Sus scrofa: one gene and its partners. The protein of the gene in region 1 purifies or fractionates together with the protein of each later gene. This does not show direct contact. Links are inferred from orthologs where the notes say so. Each region holds a gene or a part of one and is shown in the gene's direction. Other genes may lie near its edges.

What was found. Proteins that work in one complex are often made in the same cells at the same time.
Region 2: the proteins of STX5 (region 1) and vesicle-trafficking protein SEC22b purify together in Homo sapiens (co-immunoprecipitation; 4 studies listed by BioGRID and IntAct, counting the BioPlex papers as one, with this or other methods). This does not show direct contact. The link is inferred for Sus scrofa from reciprocal best matches to the Homo sapiens genes STX5 and SEC22B.
Region 3: the proteins of STX5 (region 1) and GOSR1 purify together in Homo sapiens (affinity purification with western blotting; 3 studies listed by BioGRID, with this or other methods). This does not show direct contact. The link is inferred for Sus scrofa from reciprocal best matches to the Homo sapiens genes STX5 and GOSR1.

The regions. Positions count from the first base shown.
Region 1 is NC_010444.4:8,947,786-8,951,285, forward strand, and holds part of STX5 (syntaxin-5), read left to right. Parts: coding exon 1-53; intron 54-226; coding exon 227-308; intron 309-1,361; coding exon 1,362-1,468; intron 1,469-1,637; coding exon 1,638-1,759; intron 1,760-3,500. UniProt on the Homo sapiens protein: Mediates endoplasmic reticulum to Golgi transport.
Region 2 is NC_010446.5:100,897,843-100,901,442, forward strand, and holds the end of vesicle-trafficking protein SEC22b, read left to right. Parts: intron 1-1,156; coding exon 1,157-1,311; 3' UTR 1,312-3,100; downstream 3,101-3,600. UniProt on the Homo sapiens protein: SNARE involved in targeting and fusion of ER-derived transport vesicles with the Golgi complex as well as Golgi-derived retrograde transport vesicles with the ER.
Region 3 is NC_010454.4:46,589,624-46,593,123, forward strand, and holds part of GOSR1 (Golgi SNAP receptor complex member 1), read left to right. Parts: intron 1-3,380; coding exon 3,381-3,500. UniProt on the Homo sapiens protein: Involved in transport from the ER to the Golgi apparatus as well as in intra-Golgi transport. It belongs to a super-family of proteins called t-SNAREs or soluble NSF (N-ethylmaleimide-sensitive factor) attachment protein receptor.

The DNA.
Region 1 (3,500 bases):
AGCTGGCCTCCATGTCCAATGACTTCAAATCAGTTTTGGAAGTGAGGACAGAGGTGAGAAGGAGCTGTGTAGGGGGCTAGGAGTCTGGGGATGAGGGTCCCCGAGGGAAACAGGAAAGGGACAAGTGGAAGGGAAGGGCGGGGTGGTCACGGGCCGCAGGCGGGGTCTCTTTAACACGCCGGCCTTCCAGAGGCCTCAGGCGCTTCCCCTTCCTCCCCAACCCCAGAACCTGAAGCAGCAGAGGAGCCGGCGGGAGCAGTTCTCCCGGGCACCCGTGTCAGCCCTGCCCCTCGCGCCCAACCACCTCGGTAAGTCACAGGCAGCGCAGGGAGCCTTGGGGGTAAGGCGCCGTTACTCCGGCTCTGAGGGTACCCTCTAAGGCAGGCGTTGGGTAGGAGAAAGGAGGGCCAAGGACGGTGCTCGGCTTGATCTCTCAGAGGCCAAAGCTGAGGGTGGGATGTGCAGTCCACACCTGGTCTCCCACATTCATTCTCACCGTTGGGGTGAGAAGTCAAGTTCAGAAGGATGACCGTTTCTCTCTTTTTTTTTTTCTTTGAGGGCCACACCTACGGCATCTGGAAGTTCTCAGGCTAGGGACGGAGTAAGAGCTGCAGCCACCAGCCTACGCCACAGCCACAGCCCCGTGGGATCTGAACCGAGTGTGTGACCTACACCACAGCTCATGGCAACGTCAGATCCTTAACCCACTGAGCGAGGCCAGGGATTGAACCTGCATCCTCACGGGTACTAGTTGGGTTCATAACCCACTGAGCCACGATAGGACTCCAAGAATGACAGTTTCTAGTATTTTTTATTTTTATTTTTATTTTCTTTGCTTTTTAGGGCTGTACCCTTGGCATATGGAAGTTCCCAGGCTAGGGGTCCAGTTGGAGCTACAGCTGCTGGCCTAGGCCACAGTCACAGAAACGTGGGATCCACGCCATATCTGTGACCTACACCACAGCCACAGCAACGCCAGATCTGAGCCATGTCTGTGACCTACATCACAGCTCATGGCAACACCAGATCCTTAACCCACTGAGCAAGGCCAGGGATCGAACCCTCAACCTCATGGTTCTTAGTCGGATTCGTTTCTGCTGCACCACGATGGGAACTCCAACAGTTTCTAGTATTTGTTGTGCACCTGTTCATTTTATTTACATTCCATCATCTAATTTTGGCAACCACCCTTTGAGAAAGCAGCTATTATTATCCCCCGTTTTATAGCTGAGGAAACTGAGTCTCAGAGACGTCCAGGGTCACAAGGCTAGTAATTGCCGGAGCTGGGATTCAAATCCAGAGCATGTGGGCTTTGAACCTTTTAACCACTAAGGAGTGCCGTGTCTTCTTTCTTCCCCCAGGGGGCGGTGCTGTGGTTTTGGGGGCAGAGTCCCGAGCCTCTGGGGACGTGGCCATTGACATGATGGATTCTAGGACCAGCCAGCAGCTGCAGCTCATTGATGAGCAGGTACCCAGGCTCTGAGCGGGGGAGGAGTAGCTCCTCTGGTTTCCTCCGTGGGCCACAAGCAAGCGTTTGGAATGTGCCGTGGGTGGAATGGCAAGAGGGAGGGCCCTCAAGAGGCAGGCCCCGCCCTGAGGAAGCTCCCAGGGCTCATGTGCACTCTCTCCCTCTGAAGGACTCCTACATCCAGACCCGGGCAGACACCATGCAGAACATTGAGTCCACAATTGTGGAGCTTGGCTCCATCTTCCAGCAGTTGGCACACATGGTTAAGGAACAGGAAGAAACCATTCAGAGGTGAGACTCTTCCTCTCTTTAACCCTCGGGGGTTGGCATCCTAAAGGTCCCCAGGGGCAGCTTGATGCCCTTTGGAAGAGAGGGTGAACCCTGTCCACCCCCAGGGTCAGTTCACCTCCCTCTGTTCACTCGACAAGTGTTGACTGAGCACCTGTTTCCCACCAGGCCCTGTGCTAGGTGCTGGGGATGTGGGGATGAACAGACAGTTACATCTGTTTCGTGAGGCTTACTTTGTTGTCTTCATACAGAATTTACCAAGGTGGGTGAGGAGAGCTATTAAAGAGAATTGACAAGGAGTTCTCTTGTGGCACAGGTTTGATCCCTGGCCTGGGAACTTCCTCATGCAGTGGAGTCAGCAAAAAAAAAGAATTTAAAGAAATTTTCGGGTAGTGATAAAGGGCTATACCGAGAAAGTAGGACGAGGTGTTGAGAAAGTGTCGGCGGAGGTATGTCAGATAGGGTGGCAGGGAAGGCTGCTCTGAAGACTCGACTCGACATTTAAGGAGAGGCATGAACAGCAGGAGGGATCCAGCCATGCAAGGGAGAGGGAAAGAGGTGTTCCCATCGTGGCTCAGTGGAAAAGAACCTGACTAGTATCCATGACAACACAGGTCCGATCCCTGACGTCACTCAGTGGGTTAAGGCTCTGGCATTGCTGTGAGCTGTGGTGCAGGTTGCAGATGTGGCTTTGATCCTGCATTGTTGTGGTTGTGGTGTAGGCCAGCAGCTACAGCTCTGATTTGGCCCTGCGCCTGGGACCTTCCATGTGCTGTGGGTGCGGCCCTAAAACGCCAAAAAAAAGAGAGGGGCAAAGAGTATTCTAGGCAGCGCAGACAGCTAGAGCAAAGCCCTCCAGCGGCACAGTCCTGCTGTATTAAAGGATCAAGAAGGCTAGCACAGCTAGAAAGCAGTGAACGGGAACAGAGAGGTACAGGGGGAGACCGGAGGGAGGGAGGCAGAGCCCACCCACGGAAGACGTTTCTGCTCCTGTGGCCTCCGCTGCTACTGCCTGAGAGTATCTGTGCCTCTTTTTTGGCACTTGGTGTTCATTCAGTGAGTTACGGAGGGTACAGCCAAGGTCAAAAGAGACAAACCTGCCTCTGTGGAACTTACATCATAGTAGGGGAGATAGATAGTTAAAAATTCACATAATAAATAGTCCAGAATATATTTTTGTCCAGTGATAAATCCATAAATAAAAGTAGAGTGGGGTAAACTAATAGGCATGGAGGGGCAAGTTGTATATTTAAAGAGGATTGGAGCTCCTGTTGTGGCTTAGTGGGAATGAATCTGATGCAGGTTCGATCCCTGGCCTTGCTCAGTGGGTTAAGGATCCTGCATTGCTGTAAGCTGTGGTATAGGTCACAAACACAGCTTGGATCTGGCATTGCTGTGGCTGTGGCATAGGCCTGCAGCTACAGTTCTGAGTCGACCTCTAGCCTGGGAACCTCCATGTGCCGCGAGTAGGGCCCTAACAAAAAAGACAAAAAAACAAAAAAAAGAGGATAGTTGTGGTAGACCCTATCAGGAAGGTGACATCTGGCATAGTGGGTTAAAAATCCAGCTGCAGTGGCTTGGGTCACTACAGAGTTGTGGGTTTGATCCCCAGCCCCACGAAGTGGGTTAAAAGATCTGGGGTTGCCCCAGCTGCAGCATAGGCAGCAGCTGCAGTGTAGGCCACAGATGCAGCTCGGATTCAGTCCCTGGATCCAGGAACTTCCATGTGTCCAAGGTGTGGATT
Region 2 (3,600 bases), on another chromosome or scaffold:
ATTTTAGCCCAGTCTAGCTTGTGTCTATCTGGCTATTTTTCTATGTGCTTAGTTAACAATTAAAAGAAGATAATGACATTACAAATGTCCTTATAGGAAAAAAAACTTTCAAAAAAATCTTTTTTTTTTTTTTTTTTTTTTTTTGCTTTTTTTTTCTTTAGGGCCACACCTGTGGCATATGGAAGTTCCCAGGCTAGGTGTCGAATCAGAGCTGCAGCTGCTGGCCTCTGCCACAGCCACAGCAATGCAGGATCCGAGCCATGTCTTTGACCTACACCACAGCTCACAGCAACGCTAGATCCTTAACCCACTGAGAGAGGCTAGGGTTTAAACCCTCATCCTCATGGATATTAGTTGGGTTTGAAACCCACTGAGCCACAATGGGAAAGCCCTAAAATCTTAATTTAGTAGATGTTGATAGTTTTCTAGCACCTGCGATTGTATTTTCATTATAATACAGCTTTCCTATGTCTATTGACATATAATTTCTGATAGTTTATCTCCATAATAATAATCAGTAGTAACTGTGTAGAAAGTCTTAGAAACTTGGTAGCAGTCACCACTGAGATATAGTTTAATATGTGTCTGGTTCATTGAATTTTCTGGTTACTGCATCTTTTATCTTACATGAATTATCTTTTGTCAAAATGTGAGAGAATCTTATTTAGAACATTAAGAGATAATGAAGATGGTTATTTTCAGCTAACATTTATCAGATGTTTACCATATTCAAGCATTATGCTCACTTTACAGGCATTCTCATATATCTATAATCCTATGTTATTACATAACCCCTATTTTATAGAGAAAGAAGCTGGGTCTTAGGCTGAGTTGATCAGTGTCACTTGACTGGTGCAATTGAGATTTGAACCAGAGTCTGAGGCCAGAGACTGCATTCCTAACCATCTCACTATACAGCCTCAAGAATTTGAACATAAGTTGATCTGATAATTTTAAAATGCATTGTAGATTTTACAGTGCTTCAGGATCATGAGTTAATCAGTACATGTAACCTTACTCTTAAAATAAAAGTGATAATTTAAGCTTCATGGTAGTTTGAAATAGTGCCATTCATTCTGGTTGTTTTTATGTCTTAATACATTTGATAAAATACTTGAGACTCATTAATGTTTTCCTTTTTTTTTATCTGTGACAGCATTGGATTCGAAGGCTAACAATTTGTCCAGTCTGTCAAAGAAATACCGCCAGGATGCGAAGTACTTGAACATGCGTTCCACTTACGCCAAACTTGCAGCAGTAGCTGTATTTTTCATCATGTTAATAGTGTATGTGCGATTCTGGTGGCTGTGAAGTAGTGAATCCCGTCATTGTCAGAGGAGAACCTAGAACCTGGCAGGTGTATGTTTTCAGGAAGCTGAGCTCACAGAGATGTGTATTAGAATTCAAGTGGAACTTCTGCCTCTAAAGACCTTGCAAGAAAAGACATGTCCTGAAAATGAAAGATTACACCTCATTTAATGAAGCTTAACCCTATGTAGAAAGTCTCTTGGGGGCAGAGGCTTTCTCTGGGTGCTAAGCCATATATGTTAGGGAACAGTAGGTTGTTTTATTTTGTTTTTTCCCCTCCCAGTGTTTTATATTTTAGATCAGCACTCACTGGGGCATTCTCATTCTCTAATGGAGCCGTCAGTGAGATTTGGCTTAACCAACCTGTGCTAGCAACAGTTTGAAATCCCTTCAGAGAAGGCAACCCTTTGGAAAGTTTTTTGACCATCTAATCAACATTCCTTTTGTTGGTGACATTTGTTATTTTCAGGAATCTGAGTTGTTGATGGCCTTTTAAACAAGACTCCAGTATGTGAAGGTTAATTGCTGTGCTGCAAGAGATCCTATCTGTTGGCCCCTGTAGAAAGTTAGCCTTTGTTATTTTCCCTTTATAATATTTTGCTTATTGTACAATTGCTCTTAGGGTTAAATGAATTATATTAAGATGCCTGAAATTATATTATAGCACTCCTTGATTAAGAAGCTAACATGTTTTCTGTCATTTACTCCTCAAAAGACTTAAAATTAGTTTGGGACATTCTTAATTTTATTTTTATGCATCTGGTTTATATTAATATATGAGTGAGTACAGCATATGGATAGTCAGAGACCCCTGACTTAGTGAAAAGCAAGGCCAGCTCATAACTACAGCTTTGTCCTGCCCCTTTCTCACTTTCTCCACTATGGTTTTCCTCTCTTTCTCTTGCCAGAATTTTCTAACATTTTAAAAATTCCTCTGTGTCCAGTAGTTTCAAGTCCATTAAGTATCTTCTCAGGATATTCTCAAATTTCAAAATAGAAAATGTTCAGCTGTGTAGTTAATTAAATTTAAATTTTTCTGGAACAACTGCTCAAACTATTAAATACATTTATCAAGTCTGAGAGCACTTCATACCTGCTTCAGTTATGGAAATTCTCTGAGAATGTTCTAGAGATAGGTAACTGATATCACAGTAGCTTCTAATAACAAACAAATACTTATGATTTTTCCCTTTTTTGCTCAGGGATGATGAGGATTTCCTCTTACCTTCTGAGGTAGAATTTTCTAAATGGGGAAAACAGGCCTTTTAAATACTGTCACAAGGCTCTACAGTATAACCTATAACTCCTATACACACTGCAAATATTTCTTTAAATTGTACAGGTACATGAGCCACCTTCTTACTTCTTAAAATCTTTGGAAAGACCTTTAACCAGTAAGCAATTTTATAACTCAGGATCATCAAAGCTACTGTTCTGATTCCTGATAGAGAAAAACATCCTATTTCCTTATAACAAGGCAAGGAGAAATGCTTATTTTATTCCTGATAATTTACAGAACTAGAATAAAGTTTTTTTCTTTCCATTTTGGACTTAAGTCTGCCAATTGGACTTTTGTGCATGAAATAAGTTACTTTTTATAGAGAATAAGTGCTTTTAAGTTCCTAAAAGGCTTGTCCCTAAGTAATGATGTTGGTAATAAAAGCCTTTGAAAGGCTGAAAACCTAAGTAGCATTTGGTACTTCTGTAGGAGTGGAGAATGGCAGCTTGTTGTTGAGAGTTGCATACTGCAGCCAAGTGGTCAGCAATGAAATAAATACTTCTAGAATGTTCCCTTCAGTGTGAAGTTTTGTTATCTAGTTAATTTACGTGCATGTATTTAGGTACATTTCTACCTAAACTCAGGTTTAATTTAAAAATGAGATGGGAGGAATGATAAACAAAGGGATAAGAAAGTAGTTTAAGATTATGATGGTAGAAAATGAGAAAACAAGTCTCATGATATGGCTCCTACTTCTATTCTTTATTAGAGAGAGTGGGAAGACCTGAGCAGATGAAATGTATCAGCAACTGAATAGGCATCTAAAATAGAATGTTAGAAAGTGCTATTCAGATTTATCAGGGGTGCATTAAGAAAGGACACCTAATTTACTGGGAAGGAGTATGGTAAGAGAAGGAGAATGGGTATTCTAGAAAGAGTCAATGGCTTGTACAAAGTCAGGAGTTAAAAGAGTGAGGCACATTTGGGGGGTTGTAATTAACTTGGTTCAACTTAATTCATAGTGTAGGCAACTGAGACTTGAGGAAGAACTAGATGGGTACACTGTCATGCAG
Region 3 (3,500 bases), on another chromosome or scaffold:
TATTCTCAAATTATTTTACAGGCTCTTAAAGACATGTTAGAACCCGCACAGTATACATTACACCATTTTTACCTAAACATCGTAAATTATGTGCATTTTCTTCTTCCTTTTTTTGGTTTGGCGAATATGTCAATAGCAGATGCTTAGGAGGGGAGGGGATAGACAGCCACATTCGCAGAAGAGTGGTCACTGCTGATGGTATATTTTCATTGGGACTCGCTTTGCACAAGCTGGACTCTAGAATAGATTTGCTGCCTGTTTGTTGTGACCTCTTAATTTTTCAGTTTCGTAATTTAAATTAGTATTACTAATGCTTCTGAGAAACCCATCAGCGAAACAGATAAGCCTACTAAGCTAAAACATTTTGTTTACTCTGAGAAGTCCAGCCTTTTAAGGAAAAAAGTTTACTTCCCCAATTACTAATGGGGTAAGGACCTATAATTTTCAAAAGTTGAATATCTGTTTTCTGGTCCCATGTAATTTAAGGTCACTTGTAATTTGGTACCTTATTTGCCTAAGGAAAAGAATATCCTGAAGTGTGTTGGTATTTTCCAGGTTTTTTCTTCCTTTTTTTTTTTTTCCGATTTTTAGGGCCGAATCGTGGCATATGGAAGTTCCCAGGCTGGGGGTCAAATTGGAGCAGCAGCTGCCAGCCTACACCAGAGCTGCAGCCACGCCAGATCTGAGCCGTGTCTGTGGCCTACACCACAGCTCACGGCAATGCTGGATCCTTGACCCACCAAGCAAGGCCAGGGATCAAACCAGCATCCTCACCGATACTAGTCGGGTTCATTAACCGCTGAGCCATGACAGGAACTCCTATTTTCCAGTTTTTTGTGAATTTTGTTCTTGCTTTGTCACCCTAAGTGTAAAACCGCACATCCAAAATCACTTATTTTTTTTTTATATAAGGCTCTACAGTTAATGGCATACTGTTATACACGTGATCTCACTTTATCATCACCACAAATTATTATCATTCCCAAAAATATGTTTTAAAAATCACATAAAATGGGTGTGAATTCGGACTCCATAGAGAGATAATAATAGAAACCTAAATCATACTGACATAAGGAGTTAAAGGAAGGAATTAATTTGTTTATATAAGTGTAGAATTCAGGGGTAGAATTTGGCTTGAGGCATGGCTGGATATAGGGGCTCAGACTTTATTATCAGAACCTGCCTTTCCTCTCTGTTCCCCTCCTCCATCTCTTACTTCTGTTTTCTGGTGTGTTGGCCCCATTCTCGGGCAGATTTCCTCCTTGTACTGGTAGAGGTGGCTACAAGAGGCACTTCCTCGCAGTTCAGAAATTCTCATGGACAATGGGTATCTTTTCTAACAGCTGTAGCACACGTCCCCAGAGGACTGTGGTTGCCCTACCCTAGCTCGAGTCACTGCCTATTCCTAACCTGGTCACTAGCCAAGAGTTCCGAATATTCTCTGAGGCCAGTCCAAGTGTGTGTGCACCTGATGGCAGAGGACAAGGTTAGCCGCACCCTGTCCACGGACTGAACTAGATTGTTACAGAAGGAGGGGAGAGGTCCCCATAAAGGATAGAAACGTGTCCACCTTAGACAGGGCTTTCTAATGTCAAAAGCTTTCTTGCTTTCTCAAAGGGGATTGTCGACCCTCCTTTTACCAAACAAGAGAAGATGAAGCATTTGCTTTATGTGAGGTGTGTACCTTCCATGGTATAATTTTTTGCCCATTACTTCACGCTTCCTGTTCTCTGACGTTATAAAAATTGTTTCTTGAAATTGTTATTTTTTTTCATTAATTAATTCAAAAAACACACTAATGCCTACAGTGTCTAAAGCTCTAGTCAGTAAGCGCTGGAGTTCCTGTTGTGGTGCAGTGGTTAACGAGTCTCACTAGGAACCAGGAGGTTTCGGGTTTGATCCCTGGCCTTGCTCAGTGGGTTAAGGATCCAGCGTTGCCATAAGCTGTAGTGTAGGTCGCAGGCGCAGCTCAGATCCCGCGTTGCTGTGGCTCTGACGTAGGCTGGTGGCTACAGCTCCGATTCAACCTCTAGCCTGGGAACCTCCATATGCCGAGGGAGCGGCCCTAGAAAAGGCAAAAAGACAAAAAAAAGGAAAATTAAAGATTAGACGAAAACGTGGCCTATGCATACAATATGTAGAAAATATAAATACACAATACAGTCCCTGCTGAGAGTCATTTTATTTAAAATGCAGTGAGAAAAAAACATTTGTTTAATTAAAAAAATGCGGTGAGGATTCAACTGGAGTAGGGATTATTCCAGCTCTCTAGTATCCTAGGTGATTTCGTTGTTGCTTTTCCTGACCTCGATATAATACCTCTATTTACAGAGGATATGTATATATATATATATATATATATATAGTCAGAAACCAGCGCAAGAAATGTAAAACAATATAAGATGCACAGGCATGCGCTTTGATGACAACATGCTAACAAGATAGGAAGGTATTTTGCAGTAGTAAGTAAAATACAGTTGTGGTGCTTTTATAAAGCCCCTAAAATTGAAAATTCTAATCTTCCTTTTTTATGTTCCCTAAATAGGATAGCTAGGGCAGTTGAACCCACTTTCTTTTTTACTTTTTATCTTATTTTTTGGCCACACTGCAGCAAGCAGGAGTTCCTGGGCCAGAGATAGAGCCCACACCACAGCAGTGACAGTGCCAGATCCTTAACCCACTGAGCCACCATGGAACTCCTCACCCACTTTCTTGCCATAGTCTGCCTACTGCTGCAAAGTAAATTTTAAATTTTAGGGAGTTTCCTAGTGGGCTAGTGGTTAAGGATCTGGTATTGTCACTGTTGTGGCCTGGGATGATCCCTGACCCAGGAACTTCCACATGCCATGGGCACAGCAAAAATAATAAATAGTTAACCAGTGCTTGATTATACAGGCACTCAGAGTTTATTCCCATCAGTTGCCTGAATGCAGGGAGGCTTATCACCCTGTGGGGAGAAAATCAGCTATTCCTCCAAACCCCTCTGGCAGAACTACCTAGTCTCCTGAGAAAAGAGGTTAGAGAGAGAGAGAGAGAAGGGGGAAAAGGAAAGGCATCCTCTGTTCTGATCACACGGACTCCCACCCTGACAGTGATCCCTCGGCAGGTATGGTTATTCCCCACCCCCGCCCCCCTGCTGATTCTTTTTCTTTTCATTCTTCTCACTTGTGTACTGCACTGTGCAGGGAGACTTTGTTTGGGACTTTGAGCAGTAGAATGTCTGTGTTTGCCACAAGCTTCCTCAGTGTGATTTTCTTCCCCTCAATTTCTTCTCATCACTTATCGTTTCTGGACTCCACTGCTCTCTGTTTTTGAAATTCCTGTGAGTTTTCACTAAAGAGACTTCTTCTAAATATGACCTTAATAAAGATTTCCCAAAGATCGTTTTCCTGCTGTGAACAGCCTGATCCAGCGGATCAACCTTAGGAAGCGGCGAGACTCCCTCATCCTGGGGGGTGTTGTTGGCATCTGTACCATCCTATTGCTGCTCTATGCTTTCC